Mus musculus: one gene and its partners. The protein of the gene in region 2 purifies or fractionates together with the protein of the main gene of each other region. This does not show direct contact. Links are inferred from orthologs where the notes say so. Each region holds a gene or a part of one and is shown on either strand. Other genes may lie near its edges.

What was found.
Region 1: the proteins of Cpsf6 (region 2) and Ncbp3 purify together in Homo sapiens (co-immunoprecipitation; 3 studies listed by BioGRID and IntAct, with this or other methods). This does not show direct contact. The link is inferred for Mus musculus from reciprocal best matches to the Homo sapiens genes CPSF6 and NCBP3.
Region 3: the proteins of Cpsf6 (region 2) and Wwp2 purify together in Homo sapiens (affinity purification with mass spectrometry; 3 studies listed by BioGRID and IntAct, counting the BioPlex papers as one, with this or other methods). This does not show direct contact. The link is inferred for Mus musculus from reciprocal best matches to the Homo sapiens genes CPSF6 and WWP2.
Region 4: the proteins of Cpsf6 (region 2) and U2af2 fractionate together in Homo sapiens (co-fractionation; 3 studies listed by BioGRID, with this or other methods). This does not show direct contact. The link is inferred for Mus musculus from reciprocal best matches to the Homo sapiens genes CPSF6 and U2AF2.

What each region holds. Positions count from the first base shown.
Region 1 is NC_000077.6:73,074,895-73,079,289, forward strand, and holds part of Ncbp3 (nuclear cap-binding protein subunit 3), read left to right. Parts: intron 1-720; coding exon 721-875; intron 876-2,960; coding exon 2,961-3,122; intron 3,123-4,046; coding exon 4,047-4,282; 3' UTR 4,283-4,395. UniProt on the Homo sapiens protein: Associates with NCBP1/CBP80 to form an alternative cap-binding complex (CBC) which plays a key role in mRNA export. NCBP3 serves as adapter protein linking the capped RNAs (m7GpppG-capped RNA) to NCBP1/CBP80.
Region 2 is NC_000076.6:117,373,502-117,378,352, forward strand, and holds the start of Cpsf6 (cleavage and polyadenylation specificity factor subunit 6), read right to left. Parts: upstream 3,473-4,851; 5' UTR 3,398-3,472; coding exon 3,338-3,397; intron 1-3,337. UniProt on the Homo sapiens protein: Component of the cleavage factor Im (CFIm) complex that functions as an activator of the pre-mRNA 3'-end cleavage and polyadenylation processing required for the maturation of pre-mRNA into functional mRNAs.
Region 3 is NC_000074.6:107,551,013-107,555,407, reverse strand, and holds part of Wwp2 (NEDD4-like E3 ubiquitin-protein ligase WWP2), read right to left. Parts: intron 4,165-4,395; exon of another isoform or gene 4,095-4,164; intron 3,132-4,094; coding exon 2,972-3,131; intron 1,440-2,971; coding exon 1,306-1,439; intron 976-1,305; coding exon 835-975; intron 428-834; coding exon 307-427; intron 1-306. UniProt on the Homo sapiens protein: E3 ubiquitin-protein ligase which accepts ubiquitin from an E2 ubiquitin-conjugating enzyme in the form of a thioester and then directly transfers the ubiquitin to targeted substrates.
Region 4 is NC_000073.6:5,068,433-5,072,827, reverse strand, and holds part of U2af2 (splicing factor U2AF 65 kDa subunit), read right to left. Parts: intron 4,096-4,395; exon of another isoform or gene 4,036-4,095; intron 3,385-4,035; coding exon 3,268-3,384; intron 2,467-3,267; coding exon 2,328-2,466; intron 1-2,327. UniProt on the Homo sapiens protein: Plays a role in pre-mRNA splicing and 3'-end processing. By recruiting PRPF19 and the PRP19C/Prp19 complex/NTC/Nineteen complex to the RNA polymerase II C-terminal domain (CTD), and thereby pre-mRNA, may couple transcription to splicing.

The DNA of each region.
Region 1 (4,395 bases), on a different chromosome or scaffold from region 2:
CACCTTTAATCCCAGCACTTGGGAGGCAGAAGCAGGCGGATTTCTGAGGTTCGAGGCCATCCTGGTCTACAGTGTGATTTCCAGGACAGCCAGGGCTACACAGAGAAACCCTGTCTCGAAAAAAATCAAACAAACAAAAAAACAAAAAAAAAATTAAATTTGAAGAAACTTGAAAATTTGAGGCAGGGTCTCACTAAACCAAGTATGCTGGATTTAAATGTGCTGAGTAACATATCCAGCATGTGAAGTTGTGAGCAGCCTGCAGCCTGCCTTAGTGTCCAGGTCGCTGAGACTGCAGGCCTTTATGGCTTTGTTCACATGTCTGTGCTTAGTTTTTATAGAACTAAGAAAGAATTCTAGCAGAGTAATGCTCTCTCCCATGAGGAGGGTCTCATCTGTACCTGTGTGAGCAGAGTTTCAGCCTCTTTGCAGCTGTCTGCTTAATGTTTGCTTACCCTTGGTGAAGGGAGCATCAGTTATGTGTTCTATGATAAAGTGTACAGGCATCATGTGGAAACCACCCTGTCTAAGTCTGCAGTCTAGTTAATGGTCACCATCTTTTCATAGCATGTTGATCGTAGTGAGCTATTACAGTGGTAGTTGTAAGTCAGTGACGGTCATCTTAAACTGAGTTTTTCTGAAGTAGGAGACTTTTTTGCATCTTTCCTCGCAGTTGAAGTTGGTTACTTATGATCTCTCTGCTTTTTCCCCCCCTTAAAGGAATCCCATGAGGGCAGATAGTATATCCACAAGCAATATAAAAAACCGAATTGGTAACAAATTGCCTCCTGAGAAATTTGCAGATGTCCGTCATCTCTTAGATGAAAAGAGGCAGCATTCCTGTCCACGGCCAGCAGTCAGCAGTACTAAACCAGGTATTGTTCTTCCCTCTTTTGTGCTCCTGACTCCCTTTTTGTAAGCCCCTTGAGTGGCTTGGTTCCATCCCAGATTACTCTAACGTTTCCAGCCCCTCAGTATGCAAGTGGCCAAGCTCTCTGCCCTGTAGAGGAAAGAAAAAGTCCAAGATCTGGCAGCAAAATCCCACAAATCCCAGGCCACCCTGGAAAGTATCCCACCACTACCACCAAGGAAACCTATATAAAGTCTGGGTCCTGCTCAGTTCTTTGCTCTCAAGCAGAGGTAGCCACCCTCCTGTATCCTTCCCAATAAATGTATGGTGAGAGATTTGTTGTGCAGGGTGACTTTGTGGTATTCATTGGCTTCTAACTGCCACTATACTTTCCCCTCAGAGTTAATCCTGATGCTTGTGAGCACCTGAGAGCAGATGGGCCCAGGGTAGGTTCTTCTGAACTCAATTAACTGTTCCTCTTCTTGTACCTACATCTTTAGTTAGGCGTCCATGAGAAAATAAATAAAGTCGGATTTTGCAACAAAACTACTTTTCAGTATTTTTTGTTTGAAATAATAAATAAATACTAAATAATAATAAATAAGTAATATTACTTCCCTGGGATATTTTATACCCCAAACCAATAAAGTTGGGTGGTTAGAAACATGGTTGAGTGTGAACTAGAGTGTATATGTGAGCAAACCCTAATGAAGCAATATAAGCGTGTGCTTATGGCTAGGGCTGGCATGTGCAAGTCTTTGGGGAGGCTGCAACAGCTGCCACAGAGCTGCTGAGACGATTCGAGCCGGTTTTTGAAGAAAGCAGCTTTAGAGTGTAGTCTTGGGAGGACTAGGACACAGCTGACAAACTATCTTTGGAGGGAGGAAATAATATGATTCTTATTTTAAGAGGTGATTTTGAAGGATTAGAATATAGTGGGCATAGAAGACAAAGTAAAAAGGGCTAAACTTTTTAGGGACAATGACGTCAGAAGGGGTGAGAATGGAACCCTGGGAAGGAGGAGGATGGAAGAGAAGCAACTGAAGAGGCTCAGCCTGAGCTCTTGTGAGGAGTTTACTTGAGAAGTCAAGAGTAGGCTCAAGGCTGATGAACATGTGGCTGCTGTCGCTGCTGCGTGTTAGGGGAAACCTCAGGCCCAGCGGCTCTGTGACGGACTTGGAAGAGAGCACACTTAATTTAGGACACAGCTCCTTTATCCTTGGCCTGTTGCCAGTCTCATTACACTTGTTGGTTAAATGTAGTAAGTTTATTGAGAACTACTTGTGTTTTCAAGGATTGTGGCTTGCAGTATTGTTAGCTGGAAAATGTGATGTGTTACTTAGTTTTGCTTGATTCTGGCAAAAAAGAAAAAAAGAAGAAAAAGAAGAAGACTGCTTCAGGCACTCAGCTGGTAGCCCCTACATCCAAGTTTTAAGTTTTCTTAAGAGAAGCAAGACCAGTTATGAACAGAACCAACCGGCTTCTAGAAGCCTTCTGATGCTGGGTGCTGTGCCTTCACTATGGGAGATTTGGGATCAGGTCTCTAGAGAGCTGTACTGATTAGTTTGTTTGGTTGGTGCCTCTGCCTCTTGAGGTCTGGGATTAAAGACATTTACCATCACCATCTGGTGGCTGGCCAGACTTTTTTTTTTTTTAATCAGCTTAAGAGTTATGGAGGAGGGAACCTTAACTGAGAAAATGCCCCTGCCGGATTAGTTTGTAGAGAAGCCTATGGTGCATTTTCCTGATTGCCGATTACTGTGGGAGGGAGGGCTCAGACACTGTGGGCAGTACCTCCCCTGCACTGTTGGTCCAGGAATAAGGAAGCGGGCTGAGCAAATTCGAGAAGCAAGCCAGTAAGCGGCACTCCTCTGTGGCTGTGCATCAGCTCCTGCCTCCAGGTTCCTGCTCTGTGAGCTTCTGCCCTCACTGCTTTTGATGAGTTGTTATATAGAGAGTGAGTGAAATAAACCTTTCCTCCCCAGGTTGCTTTTGATCGTGGTATTTTGTCACAGCAGTGGCAGCCATGGCTAAGACAAAAGCCTAGTTCATTGGTACTGAGGTAAAACACGTATGCTTGGTAACAGGTATACTTTTTCTCTTTTGGCAGATATTCGCCAGCGGTTAGGAAAAAGACCGTATTCTCCAGAGAAGGCTTTTAGTAGTAACCAGGTGGTTCGGAGAGAGCCCTCTTCAGATGTACATAGTAGGCTAGGTGTTCCCAGGCAAGATGTTAAAGGCCTCTACTCTGATACTCGGGAGAGGAAATCAGGTGAGTAACACTTCACAGTGATGGAAGGGAAGGAGTGGAGACCAGTGGTTATAGCATAAGAAGTAGGTAGGTCTGTGTTTGTTCCCTCTTCAGTTAGCATGACTTCCTTTGTCTACATCAGCATCAGCACCATGCCTACAGGAAAGTTCAGGAAGGAGAAAGGAGAAGCTATACATCCTTGCTGCTTTTTAGTTTCACATTATTTAGTTTCTTTGTTCACACATATATCTAGTTTTTTTTTATGTAGCCTTTTTTTCTATAACTCTTCCATTTTGCTTTACTCTTCATAAGTAAATTAAACCTTTAATTATCTTGTAGTATATGTATATCACCACATTCTAAACACATGCTTCTTTGTAAGGTTTTAATAAAACACTTCTTTTGGGGGATTTTTTTTATGTTTTGCTTACATGTTTGTCTGTGTACTGTGTACATGTCTGGTGCCCTTGGAGGTGGGAAGAGGGCATTGGATCCCCTGGAAGTGGAGTTATGGACTGTTGTAAGGTACCATGTGGGTGTTGGAAACATAACCAGGTCCTCTGCAAGAACAAGTACGCTTAACCAATAAGGCCTTCAGCCAATACATAAACACACTTTAAAAATGTATAGCTGAAAACCTGAGAATTGCTCATAGTAAAACAGACCCGTTCAGTTTGCAGAATGTGAGAGTTGGCGGTTTCTTGGCAGACTGAGGGGTACACAGCCTGGGAGAGAGGCAAGTGTCTAGTTTGTGCCTGGTATGGGGACACCAGCCTTGAGCTGTGAGCATCTCCCATCGAGTCTCAGGCTGTCCACTTACAGACTGGCACCAAGCACCTCTCCCGATGTTTCCTGCAGAGCAGGTGTTGGCAGTGTCCTTACTTCCACAGAACTACTTGGTACTCGGCATCGACTGCCAACTGAAGTGTCTTCTCACCCCAACAGGTGGTTTGTGGACTCGCTTAGGATCTACACCCAAGACCAAAGAAAAGAACACGAAGAAAGTGGATCACAGGGCATCTGGTGCTGAGGAAGATGACTCGGAGCTTCAGAGAGCATGGGGTGCTCTGATCAAGGAGAAAGAAGAGTCTCGCCAGAAGAAGAGTCGGCTGGATAGCTTGCCTTCGCTCCAGATTGAAGTCAGCCGGGAAAGTAGCTCTGGTTCAGAGGCAGAGTCCTGATGCCCTGGCCTTGGCAACTGCCCTTAAATCTGACATTCTTACATAAGGTGGGGCGTGCAGTGGGAACCTCCCTTGCAGGAGCTGGCGCCCTTTCCTCCTACCTGCACCCTGAA
Region 2 (4,851 bases):
CTCAGAAATCCGCCTGCCTCTGCCTCCCAAGGGCTGGGATTAAAGGCGTGCGCCACCACCTCCTGGCAAATCTTTAAAAAAAATTTTTTACCTAGTAAAGAAAGCAAATACACTAACAACCTAAGTCTCATCTTACCTCGCAATAAAGCTTAATACTCCAGTCTCATACTTTCTGCAATTTATTGTGCTTTGCCAAAATACAAAAAGCCTTTTAAAAGTATACCATTTTAAATAGTAAAAAGAGACTAATGACTAGACAGAGTTTCAAAGTACAATTAAAACTGCAGCTCACATTAGACAACAAAAGATGTGTTTAGGGGCTAGAGAAATGGCTAAATGGTTAGAGCACAGGCTGCTCTTCAGAGCACTCACATTTAACTCCTAGCACTTATGTGGTTGATCACAGGCCTCATAACTCTCGTTCCAGGAAGTCTGACTCCCTTTTCTGGATTCCTTGGGCACCAGGCACCCACCTAGTGAAGACATTCATGCAGGAAAAAAGACTCATACAGGTTTTTTAAAAAAGAAGACAGACAGGGCTGGTGAGATGGCTTCAGTGGTTAAGAGCACTGACTTCTTTTCCAAAGGTACTGAGTTCAAATCCCAGCAACCACATGGTGGCTCACGGCCACCCATAATGAGATCTGATGCCCTCTTCTGGTGTGTTTGAAGACAGCTACGGTGAACTTATAATAATAAATAAATATTTGGGCCGGAGCTAGTGGGGTTGGCCAGAGCAAGCAGAGGTCCTAAATTCAATTCCCAACGATCACATAAAGGCTCACAACCATCTGTATGTACTCATATACATAAAATAAATCTTTTAAAAAATGTTTGTTAAAAAAAAAAGAAGACAGAGAAAGAAAGAAAAAGTAAATAATAATACAAAACTTAACTTTTATAAATGTTTAAAACTCAAAATAATTTAAAACATCTAATGATCAGTTCTGAAAAATATTTTGCTCAACTACAGTCAAATAATCACACTGGTTACTATAGCAGCGAGTAGAAATAAGGTTACCATCTATTAAGAGAGACCAGATTACTAGGGATGTTGCAGAGGAGTAAAGTGCCTAGCATGTGCAAAGACCTGAGTGCAAACTCCCAACGGTAAGGGTAAGGAGGGAAAAAGGAGCCAGACACAGGCTACAATCCAAGCACTGGGGAGGGGGAGGCAGCAGGTGGTGCAATCATAAATTAAAAAAAAAAAAAAAAAGTAAACCTGGGATACACAATAAGTTCTAAGTCAACAAAGCTACAAGACTGGGGGACTAGGGGGGGACCCAAAAACAAAACCTAACAAAAAGGAGGGAGGGAGGGAGGGAGGGAGGGAGGGAGGGAGGGACCAGAAAATTAAATCAATAAATAATTTTGTTGTTGCTTTTAATTCTGGTAGAATCTCAGAATGATAGGGTAATCAATGACAGTAACACAGAAAATATAACAAATCTTAAGATAACTGGCAACCTTTCTGTGGCTACTTTTCTTGTTCAAAATTCAGAGCAAGCAAATCATAAAAGTCAATTATACGAAGAAAACAGTAACAAGTAATGCCTCCGGAGCGAGGCTATAGCTCAGGGTCGAATGCTTAGCCAGATGTGCAAAGCCCTGGGTTCATTCAGTATCCAGAGCTGCAAACAAGGTATTTTGGGAAAAGTTACTTAAATCTCCCAATTAATCTACTTAAACCTACAAAGATTTTACTTGTAAAAGTACACAACCACGTATTAGATACAATGCTAAAAGTACCAAGTCAACGAAAAGCTACAGTTATAAAAAAGAGGCCTACAAAGTAGTTCCTCGTTGAGGTCAAAAAAGTTTAACCTCTCCAGGCACTCGGAAGGCAGAGGCAGAGGCAGAGGCAGGCGGATCTCTCTGAGTTCGAGGCCAGCCTCGACTACAGAATGAGTTCCAGAACAGCCAGGGCTACACAGAGAAACTCTGTCAGCAGTAATTAAAATCCTACGACAATTTGCTTTTCTTTTCTAACATTTAAGCCAAAAGCACAGTCATTCTTGAAAAACGAAGCAGTAAGGATTTAAGAGTTTTCACTGTTTCGTTCAAGTCTTATATCCCTAGTCATAAACAATGGAGGGAAAACGCCATACAAACCAATGGCATTTTATTCAGGTTCTCATCCGTACCTTAGAATTTTTTAATATGGTGGGGTGTAAATTTGAAAACCGTGAATATAGGAAATGCACTAAAAAAAAAAAAATATTTAGAGGGCAGTAAGAGGCTAGACGATCCAAACCCTGGCAAGCAGACCCTTCCAAGGATATTTATTCATCATGAGACGCTGGTTCTAGGCATCCCAGGCGGGTGAGACCGGAAAACCTTACACGTCTCACTTTCTCCAGCCTTTCAAACCGTGAAGTCGAGCCCACAGGGCAAACACTTCGCTTTCAAACTACAGTCACGTTCACAACGACTTGTCAGGCACGCTACCCAGGATTCCGATTCCGAGTGGCCGGTCTCCCTTTCAGTCTCTCCGGTCTGTTAAGCTAGGATACCACCATCTTTTTTGTTCTGTCCAGCCACCGCGCTCCCAAGTCTTTGGCGCAAGCCATTTATCCTCTCCGATATTTCGCTTCACAAAGGCCAAGGACTGGGCCTCGGAGGCACTGCAAACCCTCGATGACCAAGGCGGGCCGACGCACCGACTTTTAAATGCGATCGGTGGCTCCAAAAGTCAGATGACTTGTTGCGGATGGAACCAAACCTAAGCAGCCTTCCCTTAAGGGGACCGGCGAGCAAGGAACCGGGCGCCACGCCGAAACCCGTCGCAAAGGCGAGCGGGAGCCCAGGGAGAGCGGGCGCGCGGGATACAAAGGGCTGTGAACGCGGCCTTCCATGAGGCGACCGTGCGCGGACAGAGACACAAAATGGAGCGGCGGGAGGAGGAATCGGAACCCGAGGCGGCAGGGCCGGGATGGAGGCGGCGGGCGAGCGCGCGGCCGGGCCAGGGCTTCCCCTCTGGCCGGCCGCGGGGGAGGGGGCGCGGCGGCCCGTTCTCCCCGCCCCGCACACGCGGCCTAGCTCGGCGGGAAGCGCCCGCCACCGAGCCAACAATGGAGCGGGAGACCGTCCGGAGGAACCGGGCGGGCGGCTGCAGGGCGACCGGGCCCCGCGCTCCAGAGCCCCGCGGCCCGCAAAACGACGCGCGAGAACAAGGGCTGAGGGGCCGTCGCGCACGGCGGCGCGGCCCGGAGGCGCCAAGGGCGCACGGTCTGCAGCGAAGCCGGCTCGCGGCCCGCGGCGGCCCTGGTCAGCCGGGCGTCCGGGCCGCGGCACAGTCTGCGGCGGCGGCGGCGGCGGAGCCCGGACCCTCACGTACCTGGTTGAACTCTTCACCCACATCCGCGTAAATGTCTATGTGGTCCACACCGTCCGCCATCTTCCCTCGGCCTCGGCCGCCGCCGCCGCCGCCTCCTGCAGGTCGGCCCGCCGAGGCAGCAGCAGCGGATCTGGCGGTGGGGGCGGGGCGCCCTACGTCACTTCCGAGGGGCGGAGACCAGGGCGCAGCGGCCCGCTGCTGGTGACGGGGGACCCCGCCGAAGGTCCGCGGCGGTTCCGAGGCGCTAACTCGTTCCTTTGTGTGCAGGATTAAGCCGCGGCTGGGGCAGGGGCGTGATTTCCTGTGCTACCCCGCCATACCGCATGCCATGGAACCCGCTTGTTTTCAGAGACTGTCTTTTCAAACTGCTTCTGGCACTATTTATCTATCTACATATCTATAGATGAGAGATCTATCTAGTGAGAGATATAGATATATATACATCTATATAGAGAGAGATAGATATTTATATATTTGCGTTTTCATTTTTTTCCTACTTTTTTTTTTTTTTTTTGCTTCCAAGGTTTCGAGAGATGAGAGTTATGTGTACGCAATTAAAAGCGAGATATGATGTCCTGGCCAATGTCTTATTCTTGCTTCTTCAGACAACTGAATTTTTTGAGTTATTTGCATATAGCATATTTGCATCTCTTATCTTTATGCAGTTGTAAGCATCTTTTCCGCTCCTTCCTTCACATCCTCCTCTTCCCCCTTCCTCCCCCATTGCCCTTGCTTTTACCTTTTTATCTCTGTTGTAGGTTTTCTCCAGCCATCGTTCAAAGGATTCTATCCTCATTTTTAGAGCACGTACAACAGAGCAGATGTATCCTAAATCAACGAACTCCTGGATTCAGAATGCTGAGCTAGAAGGGAAATTAAAACGGTGGCTTGAGGTCCAAACATCCCGTTTTACAGATGAGAGAACTAAGGACTCGTAGAGCATAAGTTATTTAACTGGGGTTACATGGCTCGTAAAAGTGCACACCTTTTGACGCCGATATATGATTCAGAGATCTCTCTCCATTTCCAACGGCTCCACCTATTTCTTTCCTTCCCGTTCAAAAACTCACCAGGTCACTCAGCTGCCTGTGTGCTTGATATAAATTCAGTTCCCACAGCGCTCTCAAGGAGCGTAGAGAGAACCGAACCAAATCCTCTTAAGTAGTCCTCTGATCTACTCAGCACCTCTGACTGCTCTCACTTCCAGCCCCACCCTGCCAAACAAATTAACAAAAAAGCAAAACAATAACCAAAATAATAATAATAACAAAAATACCAGATGCAGACTGGTCTGAAATCATCAAAAACCTAAAGAAACATCTATGCTTGAGATGTCTGTAAAATCTTGGTTGCAGTCACAGAGACTAATCTCTTAATCTGAATAAACATTTCTTTAAATTCCTTTTTTATACATCGGGGTGTTTTGCCTGCATACAGTCTGTGTACTACACATGTGTGCAGTGTCCTGGGAGCGCGCAAAAAAGGACATCAGTCGACTAAGACTGGTATTAGAC
Region 3 (4,395 bases), on a different chromosome or scaffold from region 2:
GAAGGGACGCGTCAGCAAGCCCACATCACGCCCTCCCCACGGCACCGCCTTGTGCCCATGAAGAGCTGCCTCTCTCACCATCAGACTCCCAAACTTTCTCAACCTGCTATTGTGCCAGGACATTTAAGGGCCCTGACCTCTAAGCATAGGGAAATTTGGGCTGAGGACCCAGGTAACAGTTCCCATCCTGCTGCATTTAGCTTGCCAAAATGTGGGACTTGGTGTGCGAGTTCTGTAGGTATGTATCGTGGAGCTGGGGCACCCTAGAAGCACTGAGGTCAAGGACTCCCAATCTTTGGCACCCACCTCCAGCTCTTTCTCATCAAAATATCTCAACCACTCCAGAGGGGCAACCTCATTGAAGCCATCCAGGAAAGCTTTGGTCTGCTCTTCCACGCCTCGGGTGAATCGCCAGTCAGTCAGCAGCCTAAAACCAAAGATGGAGCCCGGGACATCATGCCTTTTAACTGCTGGACCTCAGACACCCAGGTAAGGTTTAATGGACTAGACCAAGAGGCCTAAAGAACCTGAGTGGGGTGGGGGTTATACATCAGCATTAGAGAGCCCGAAGGCTGAAACACACTGGACAAAAAGAGGTCAGGAGAGATGGCAGCATCCAGGCCTTGTATTTCTTTACAAAGTTCCCTGGAGCTGGGAAGCCTCTTGAATGCAGGAGCCCACCCCAGAGCTGGCACCCAAGGCCAGAGGCTCCACATCCCATAGCTCCAGTCATTACGGACCAACCAAGGCAGACAGGCCACACACTGTACACACACAAGGGTAGATAGATTCCTTTCCTCTGTAACATGCTCCCTTCCCCAGGTGGAGGCTCACATGATATACTCCTCCTTGTTCTCCTCGGTAACTCGGATGTTCTCACCGCCCTCCTTCAGTTCATGGGTTGTCACCTTGCCCAGAATCTCCATGTCCTGGATGAAAAACAGCTCCAGACCACACTCTTCCAGGTTGTTCTCTCTAGGACACAGGAGGCCAGGGGGAAATGTCCATCTTACCAAGGTCTGTCTTGACTGGCCTGACTTCTCACTGCCCCCTCCAACCCCCCCCCCGCCCCGCCCCGAGAGACACTAGGAACTCACAGGTGACCAGGAACCCTGACCTGTGCCTCGGCACATTTTCTGCTGCAGGGAGAGAATTGTAGATCTGTCTGTCCTACAGGGCAACTAGAAGCTCTATAGGCCTTAGAGAGGCTATGAGGCTATGTAGGTACCTAGGAAACCAAGGCCAGGGGTGCCAACTGGCCCATGAGAACCCTGCTCCATCAGCACAGGGCAAGCCAGGACTCACTTGATCCAGACAATGGAGTTGTAAAACTCAGGGTCAATAGACTCCAGGTCCTTCAGAGTCGGTCTCTTGTTGAGCATCCGCTTGTAGAAAGGGAGAGTGAAGCCTGTGTCGATGAACTTCCCATGGTACAGAGCCTGGACAGGGAGGAGACGGAGCAAAGGGCTTGCTTCACCTTCCTGGGATGGCAGCAGAGGACGACTTAGGTGCGTTTCTGCTGACGGCTGCCCTCCTCCCTGACAGCCAGCTGGCCTAGCTAAAGGGAGGCCTGGGAAACAGCACTTTCTACTTTTCTTTTTCTTTTTTTTTTTTTTTTTTTTTTTTTTTTTTTTTTTAAGATTTATTTATTTATTATATGTAAGTACATTGTAGCTGTCTTCAGACACACCAGAAGAGGGAGTCAGATCTCGTTACGGATGGTTGTGAGCCACCATGTGGTTGCTGGGATTTGAACTCTGGACCTTCGGAAGAGCAGTCGGGTGCTCTAACCCACTGAGCCATCTCACCAGCCCTACTTTTCTTTTTCTTTTTCTTTCTTTTTCTTTTTTTTTTTTCTTTTTACTTTTTTAAAACTTGGACACAGGGACAGATTCATCCCACACCAAAAACCACAGGGAAGGGCAATGTCGGCCCACTGTCTGCCTAGCACACCAGCCAGGCCACTCCTGCTTCTAGCAAAGGCCTATCCCCATTTCCAGAGAAAACTTGTTCATAACAGCTCCAGGTGGCAGCCCTGGCTCTCTGGCACTCTGAGAGGGTGGCACAAGGGGCCAAAAATAATGCAGACACTGAGGCTGGCGCTAGCTGGCCGCCGGCAGTGAGTAACAGTCTGGGACTTTCACTGTTCTGTCCTTGCTGGATGCTAGGCCAGGTAGGTCTCAGACCCAGGAAGAATGTGCCCACTTCTGGAGCCATTGCAAGCACTTAGTCAAGACCTTTCAGATGACAGGAATGGCCATATTTAGTGACAGAGCTGTAGGTCCCTTAGCAATCCAGAGACGGAAGTGTGAGAAAACTTGGGACCTCGACTTAGAAAAGCTGGCACTGGAGCACAGTAGGACCACAGCTTCGCAGGCTCCCTGCTCATGTGGATCAAAGAGGACACGGCAGGACTGCCTCGCTGCCGACTGATCGGTTGAGCCTATATTTCTAGATGACTCCCCTGGCTCTGCACCAGCCAGTTCACTGTGGCTCTCATCTAAGCCCATGCCGATCCCTCTCTCTCTCTCTCTCTCTCTCTTGAGAAGGCCCAGGGTCTCAGTCAGACATCCCCAAAGGTTCCTTCCCTATGGTAGGGCTTTGCTTGGCCCAGTCCCATCTTTTAAGTCCCTATAGACTCAGGTGAAGTCCCTGAGCTTCTATGCAGTAAGTTCTACACAAAATGAGAAATGCTGTGATAGCCCTAGGCAGCCACTGTGAAATCTCTCACTCCTCCACAGCCAGCTAGCTTGGGGTTTTGTTTTGTTTTGTTTTAATTTCCAGGTTAGGAATTATGTGAGGAAGAGAAGAGTCACAGTGAGTCCTGGTCAGGGGGCAGGACCCTGGTCCACGAGGGCTGCTGTTCATGTCACTGCCGACTAGACTGTGACTAGAGCCAGCCTCCTCTGGGGCTGCCCTTCCCAAGGTCTCAAAAGAGGAAGAGAAGAAGGGAGGCATCCCTGGGGGTTACCATGGCGATGAATCTGCCGATAAAGCGGAAGTAGGTGAGGTGGTCAGGGTTGATGGAAGAGGCCGGGTTGATCTGCAGGCAGTAATTGTTCTTCCCAGCATATTCAAACAAACAGTACATAGGGTTGAGCACCTCATGGGACAGGAGGAAAAACCACTCTCTGTGAGGGAAGAGAGGACAGGACAATGGGACCCTCTGCACAGCAGCTGGGGTTCTGCTGGGTCAGAGCACCTGAATGCACGTGCCTGGGGGGATCAGTGAGCCAGCTCATCCCAGGTCTTGGGTGAAGAGGACAGCACCTGAAGTTTGTGCTCAGGAAAGCCCGTGTGTGTGCCTCTCAGCCCCCTGGGCACAGTTATGCTACAATATCTAGAGCACTGGATGGCAAAGCGGCTCCTCACCCCCAGGGCCACCATGCCTCACTGTGCGGGCTGTGCACCATATACAAAGGTAACATTTTAAAGCACTGTGGGCTGTGCTGGCACGGAGGCTCGGCAGGTAAAGGCTCTTGCTTCCAAGCCTGACAACCAAGTGTAATCCCTAGAACCCACTTGGCATACGATGAGAACTGAATCCTGGGAGTTGTCCTCTGACCGCCACACATGGTATACGATCCATGAGAACCCCTAAACACCTATGCCCCCAAATAAATAAATAAATAGATAAATAAATGTACTACAACAACATTTCTGCTCTATGACAGTAAGCGCCCCGCTCCACCCCATTTGGTATGCAGTGCAATGTAAAGAATACACAGTAGCATTTTCCCAAAAGCTGAACCTTGAAAGTTCTGTGACTCATTTGGCCTCTAGACACCTCATCCCTTCAGGGTACCCCATAGGTACCTCACTTGTAGGTTTCCCTCCCTTCACCCTAGAACCCATTAGCATACCCTAACCCAGATTTGGATCCATTTATCTCAACCAACACCCACCCAATAGACGCCTTAGCATCTATCTGCACCCTACATATAAGCCTCAAGCCAGAATTCAGGGTCCTTCAGAGCTTGAGCTAAACAATTGGGGAACAATCGGGGAATCGTAGTCAAGGGGGGCCAGCCCCTGGCTGCTGGGCTTTGTGGCTGTGTAGATGGAGTCCTTCGATGCAGAGGGTGCTCCAGTACCCTGTCCGTGGTTCTACCCTGTGGTAGAACAGCATGACGTAACCTACCATAGGGTAAAACCACTGGCAGGACACAGAGAGAGACACACAGGGCGGGAGCCACACCAGATGCCCACCAAGCACAGCCTGGAGAGGTCACACCGAAAACAGAACAACTCATCTGCAGGATGGGATGAACACAGAAGACTACACCACCAGCAAGCAGGGTCAACACAGAAGACTACACCACCAGCAAGCAGGGTCAGAGGCGGGGAGCCCAACTAAGTCAGATGACAGCCCCACACCACAAGGTCAGCAGGATG
Region 4 (4,395 bases), on a different chromosome or scaffold from region 2:
GATTTCATCAAATGCTTTTCCTCTCTAGTTTATTTAGTGACCTTTGTTTTTCTCCTCTGGAAGTGGAAGTTGAAAAAACAAGACAGAATTCCACTTGTTGCTGCCTCCTCCAAAGTGGTAATTTTGTGCAGAAGCACAGGCAGACCTGGAGGGCCAGGTCTTCAGACAGGCACATCCCAAAGAGACACAACACAGGACTGATCTTCCTTCTATTGTTTAATGGAAGCAATGTAGAGACTCCCTGTGAAAGAGGCCCGTCACTTAACAGCATGGCCCAAAGCAACTATGCCTGTTATCTACATGTTCTCAGTAGAAAGTTTAACATGAAAGAGTACAGAGAAAAGCTGAGCTAGGACTCCTAGGCCAACCTGTGCAGCCCAGAAAACCTATGAATTTCGTGATCACGAACAATTATTATTATTCACCACTCCTGGCTTTCCTCCTCTGTAAAGTGACAATTCCATCCACGACATGTGATGTGGCACATGCTTGTGATCTCAATACTGGGGGCAGAAAATCAAGTTAAGAGGCCAGTCTAAGATACAGTTATACCATGTGTCAAAAAACTACAGCTAGGCCTGCTGGTACAAGCTTATAATCCAACTCTGCAGGAAGATCCAAAGTTCAAGGCCTCCCTGGGAAACACAGAGAAAGCCTGCCTCAAACTACTAGTAAAAAGGCTGAGAGTATCCCCATGTGGCGAACCACCTGCTTAGCATATGCAAGGCTCTAAGTTCAATTCCTAATACCACAATGAGACCAGTAATAAAAGTAATATAAAAGGAATGACACTGTGCCAAAATTTATTTGTAAAAACAAGCAGTGGGCCAGGCGTGGTGGCGCACACCTTTAATCCCAGCACTCGGGAGACATTTCTGAGCTCGAGGTCAGCCTGGTCTACAGATCGAGTTCCAGGACAGCAAGGGCTACACAGAGAAACCCTGTCTTGAAAAACAAACAACAACAACAAAAAACCAAGCAGTGGGTCACAACTGACTTCCAAGTCATAATTAGCTGAGTGAAGGCTAAAAGAAGATTCAGGAACAGGCAATACCTGGCATGCCACACTGTGTCAGTAAAACCAGCAGGTGGCTGTCTATTCATGGAATTAAAGAGCAATCCAAACAATGAATTTAGTGCCAAGAGATACAAAAAAAAGATGTTCTACAGCTTCACCTGAAAGTCAGTAAGCAAGCAGGACCTAGTGGCACAGGGCTATAATCCCAACTACCCATGCAGCTGGGGGAAGGAGGCCCCCAAGTTCCAGGCCTGTCTAGGCAAACTTAGTGAGACCCTACCTCAAAATGAGAACTTAAAAAGGGGCTTGGGATTCAGGTTAGACAGTAAGTGCTTTCCTGACAAGCACAAGGACTGGAGTTCAAGCCCCAGTACCACTGTGAATCTTCTCCAAGCAATACTTTCAAGAGCATGCTAGCTTTAGACTCAGGTATGTGACCAGAACTTGCAGTAAGAAAGCATTCGGTAGTCAGGCCCTAACCCCAAGTCCTACACTACCAGAAATGTGCTCCTTCCTCTATAGAGAAGGGGTGACTTGACCTGGTTCCAGTGGGCACCCTCTGATGCTGAGCATCTACTCGGAGGACCCCACATTCACTGCAATCAGCCTCAGACCTGGGCCTCACTGACTCAGCTGGACCCCAGCACCAGTGTTTCCTGAAGCTCAGCAGGGGTCATACAGCCTGCAAATCCCAGCTCATCCCGCCTGACCTGCCAAAGGAAAGGCCAGCAAACTACAGCTAAACACTGAAAGATTAGTGCAGAATTGGGGGGGGGGGGGGGGGATCACAAAAAATCCAAATTTCTAATGACCCCGTCTGTAGCTTAAACAGTAAAGATCTATCGTGACCTACCAATCAGAGGTTATACTATATACAATTATAGGAAACAGTACAGAACACATGCCAAAGACATGGAATCAGTGAACACTAACATGCTAGGGCCACACACCAGAACCATGCAAAGATCTGTTGATATGTACTTACAAATACATAGCATACACAACACATCAAGCCCTAAAATCCCAGGGCTAAGGGGACAAGGTAAAAACAATGCCCAGACTGCAAGTCCCACACTTTCCAGGACACCTCTGATCTGGACCTGGCTCTGACATTTACAAGCTAAGCTAAACTTTAAGATTGAAGATCACAGATCACCACCTCAAAGGCCCAGGACACCTGCCAAGCTAGAAGAACATCCACAGCGCACACACACTATCTCCAAAGCAACTCTAGCTGGACTAAGTACAGGAACCTGGGTTGAGGAAACAGTGACTCCCCATACCACCCACCCAACGAATTCCCACTCACCAGGCACATAAACAGAGGGGTTCTCTGACATGCCAGGCAATGGCTGATAGTCATGAGGCCTTCGAATCTTCAATGACTGGCCCTGGAAGATGATGCCATCAAATGCCATGGCCTGGGTCGTCTCATCCACTGACCGGAACTGAAGGAAGAGAAACAACAGAGCTAAGGGGTAGGTTGGGACTAGACCAGCCCCCAAGACTCTTAACTTTCCTCCCACTTATATAAACAAACATAGTACCAAACCCATAATGAACAATGGGAACAAGCACTACCAGATAGCTTCTAGAAGCTCACACTCTAGAAAGCAATATCCTCGCACCCAGCAGATAGCAAGCACACTATCATAAACTCTGACAATGTTGGAAAGGGACCAACTGCTGAGAAGCCAGCATAGAAAAGTTAGGTCAACTAAGTTACGTGGCAATGACAGCCCAGGCTTTCTGATGAAGTGACATTAGTCTCCAAGAGTACAAATCAAAGTGGACTCTTATGGGCAATGCAGTCTGAAAAGGGAACACTGAAAAACCTCTTCCGCAGCCTTGGTCATGCCAACACCCCACGGTTTTTAGGAGTATGACCCCAGAGTCGAGCTAGGTCTTTACAGACAGTTCCAAACTAACGAACTGCCCAAACGTAACGTATAAACACCGAGAGTAAACTGCCTCAACCTAGGCCCCAAATAGGGAGAAACATCGAGCCCTCTGCAAGATCAATGTAGCCTAAGCAGAGTGGACTGGGCCAGAATAGTCTCAAAAACCAACAAAGCAGGAAGAAGCCACAAAGTCCTCCCAGTGAGGTAGAGCATAGGAAGGCATAAGGTAGGACAGGACTACAGAACTACTCCAGCAGCCAAATGGAAAATGAGCTGCAGGGAAAGCAGTCAGAGTAGGCAGCACAGACCATCCCTACTACCCCTTACCCTTATCACTGGAAAACTCACCTCCAAAAAGGCAAAATTCTTGTCTTGATTTATCTGCACAGCCAAGACTGGGTTGCCAGGGGCCTGAGTCAACCCTCCCAAGCGCATCTGGGCGTTGAAGAAGTCCATCATAGCCTCCTGCAGAGGGAATAGGAGACAGGGAAGGGCGGGGAGGGAGGTGGAGAGAGGAGGGGAAGGGTGAGAGAGGGAGACACAGAGGGGTTTGGGGGTAAGGGGAGAGGAATGGGGGAAGGGAGAACGGGGAGGGAAAGGGACAGTGGAATATGGGTCAGGGGTGTAGAGGTCAATAGTAGGAAAAAATGCAGGAGGAAAATGAGAAAACAGAGAAGAAGCAATACCAAAGGACAGGAGACAGGGAGCAAATGGGCCAGACAGGAGGACAGGCATGAGGGATGAGCCATGGAGCCCAAAAAGTTAGGAAAAGTTATTCAAGAAAAGATGAAAGGATGTGACAGCAAGAGGAAAAAAAAACAAAAACAAAAAACATGATGACACAAGGAAGAAATGCCCATTGCAAACAAGGCAGGAAAGGGTAGGAGAGCAACAGGCAGGAAGAGAAAGACAAGCAAAGGGACAGGAAGGGTGCCCAGAGAGGCAGAACAAGTAGAGTGCAGGGGCGGGGAGGGGTGGAGGAGCAGGGGAAGAAGGGGTAGGGCGGGAGGGGAGGAGAAAAGAGTGATGTGGAGGGATCTGGCCCTGGAGTCCGGGGGCTGGTTTATCAAATGTAGCAAAGTGCAGGTTGAGAAAGTCAGAATGGACCTTACTTGCCTTCAACGATGGTAGCAAACTTTTTGTTGCTACGAGGGATCTCAGCCCCACAATATTTCACTTTAAAGAGAAATGGAAACAACTCTTTGATCTCGGGATTCTCAGGGGGTGCCACGGGAAGGGGTGGGGGAGAGGGATGGGGGAGAGGAGCGGTGGGGAAGGTGGGGGAGGTCAGGACTACCAAAAACAAAAGAACAGCGACCATGGGAGGGATGTGGGGAAAAGGATGTGGATAGACGGCAGAAAAGGAGAGCATGTCAGAAAACTGTAGGGGCGTGCGTCTGTTTGTACGTGTGTTGAGTCTCCCTCTCTGTCTCTCTCCAACACGTAGGTACAATATGTAGGTGGGTACGTTATGTG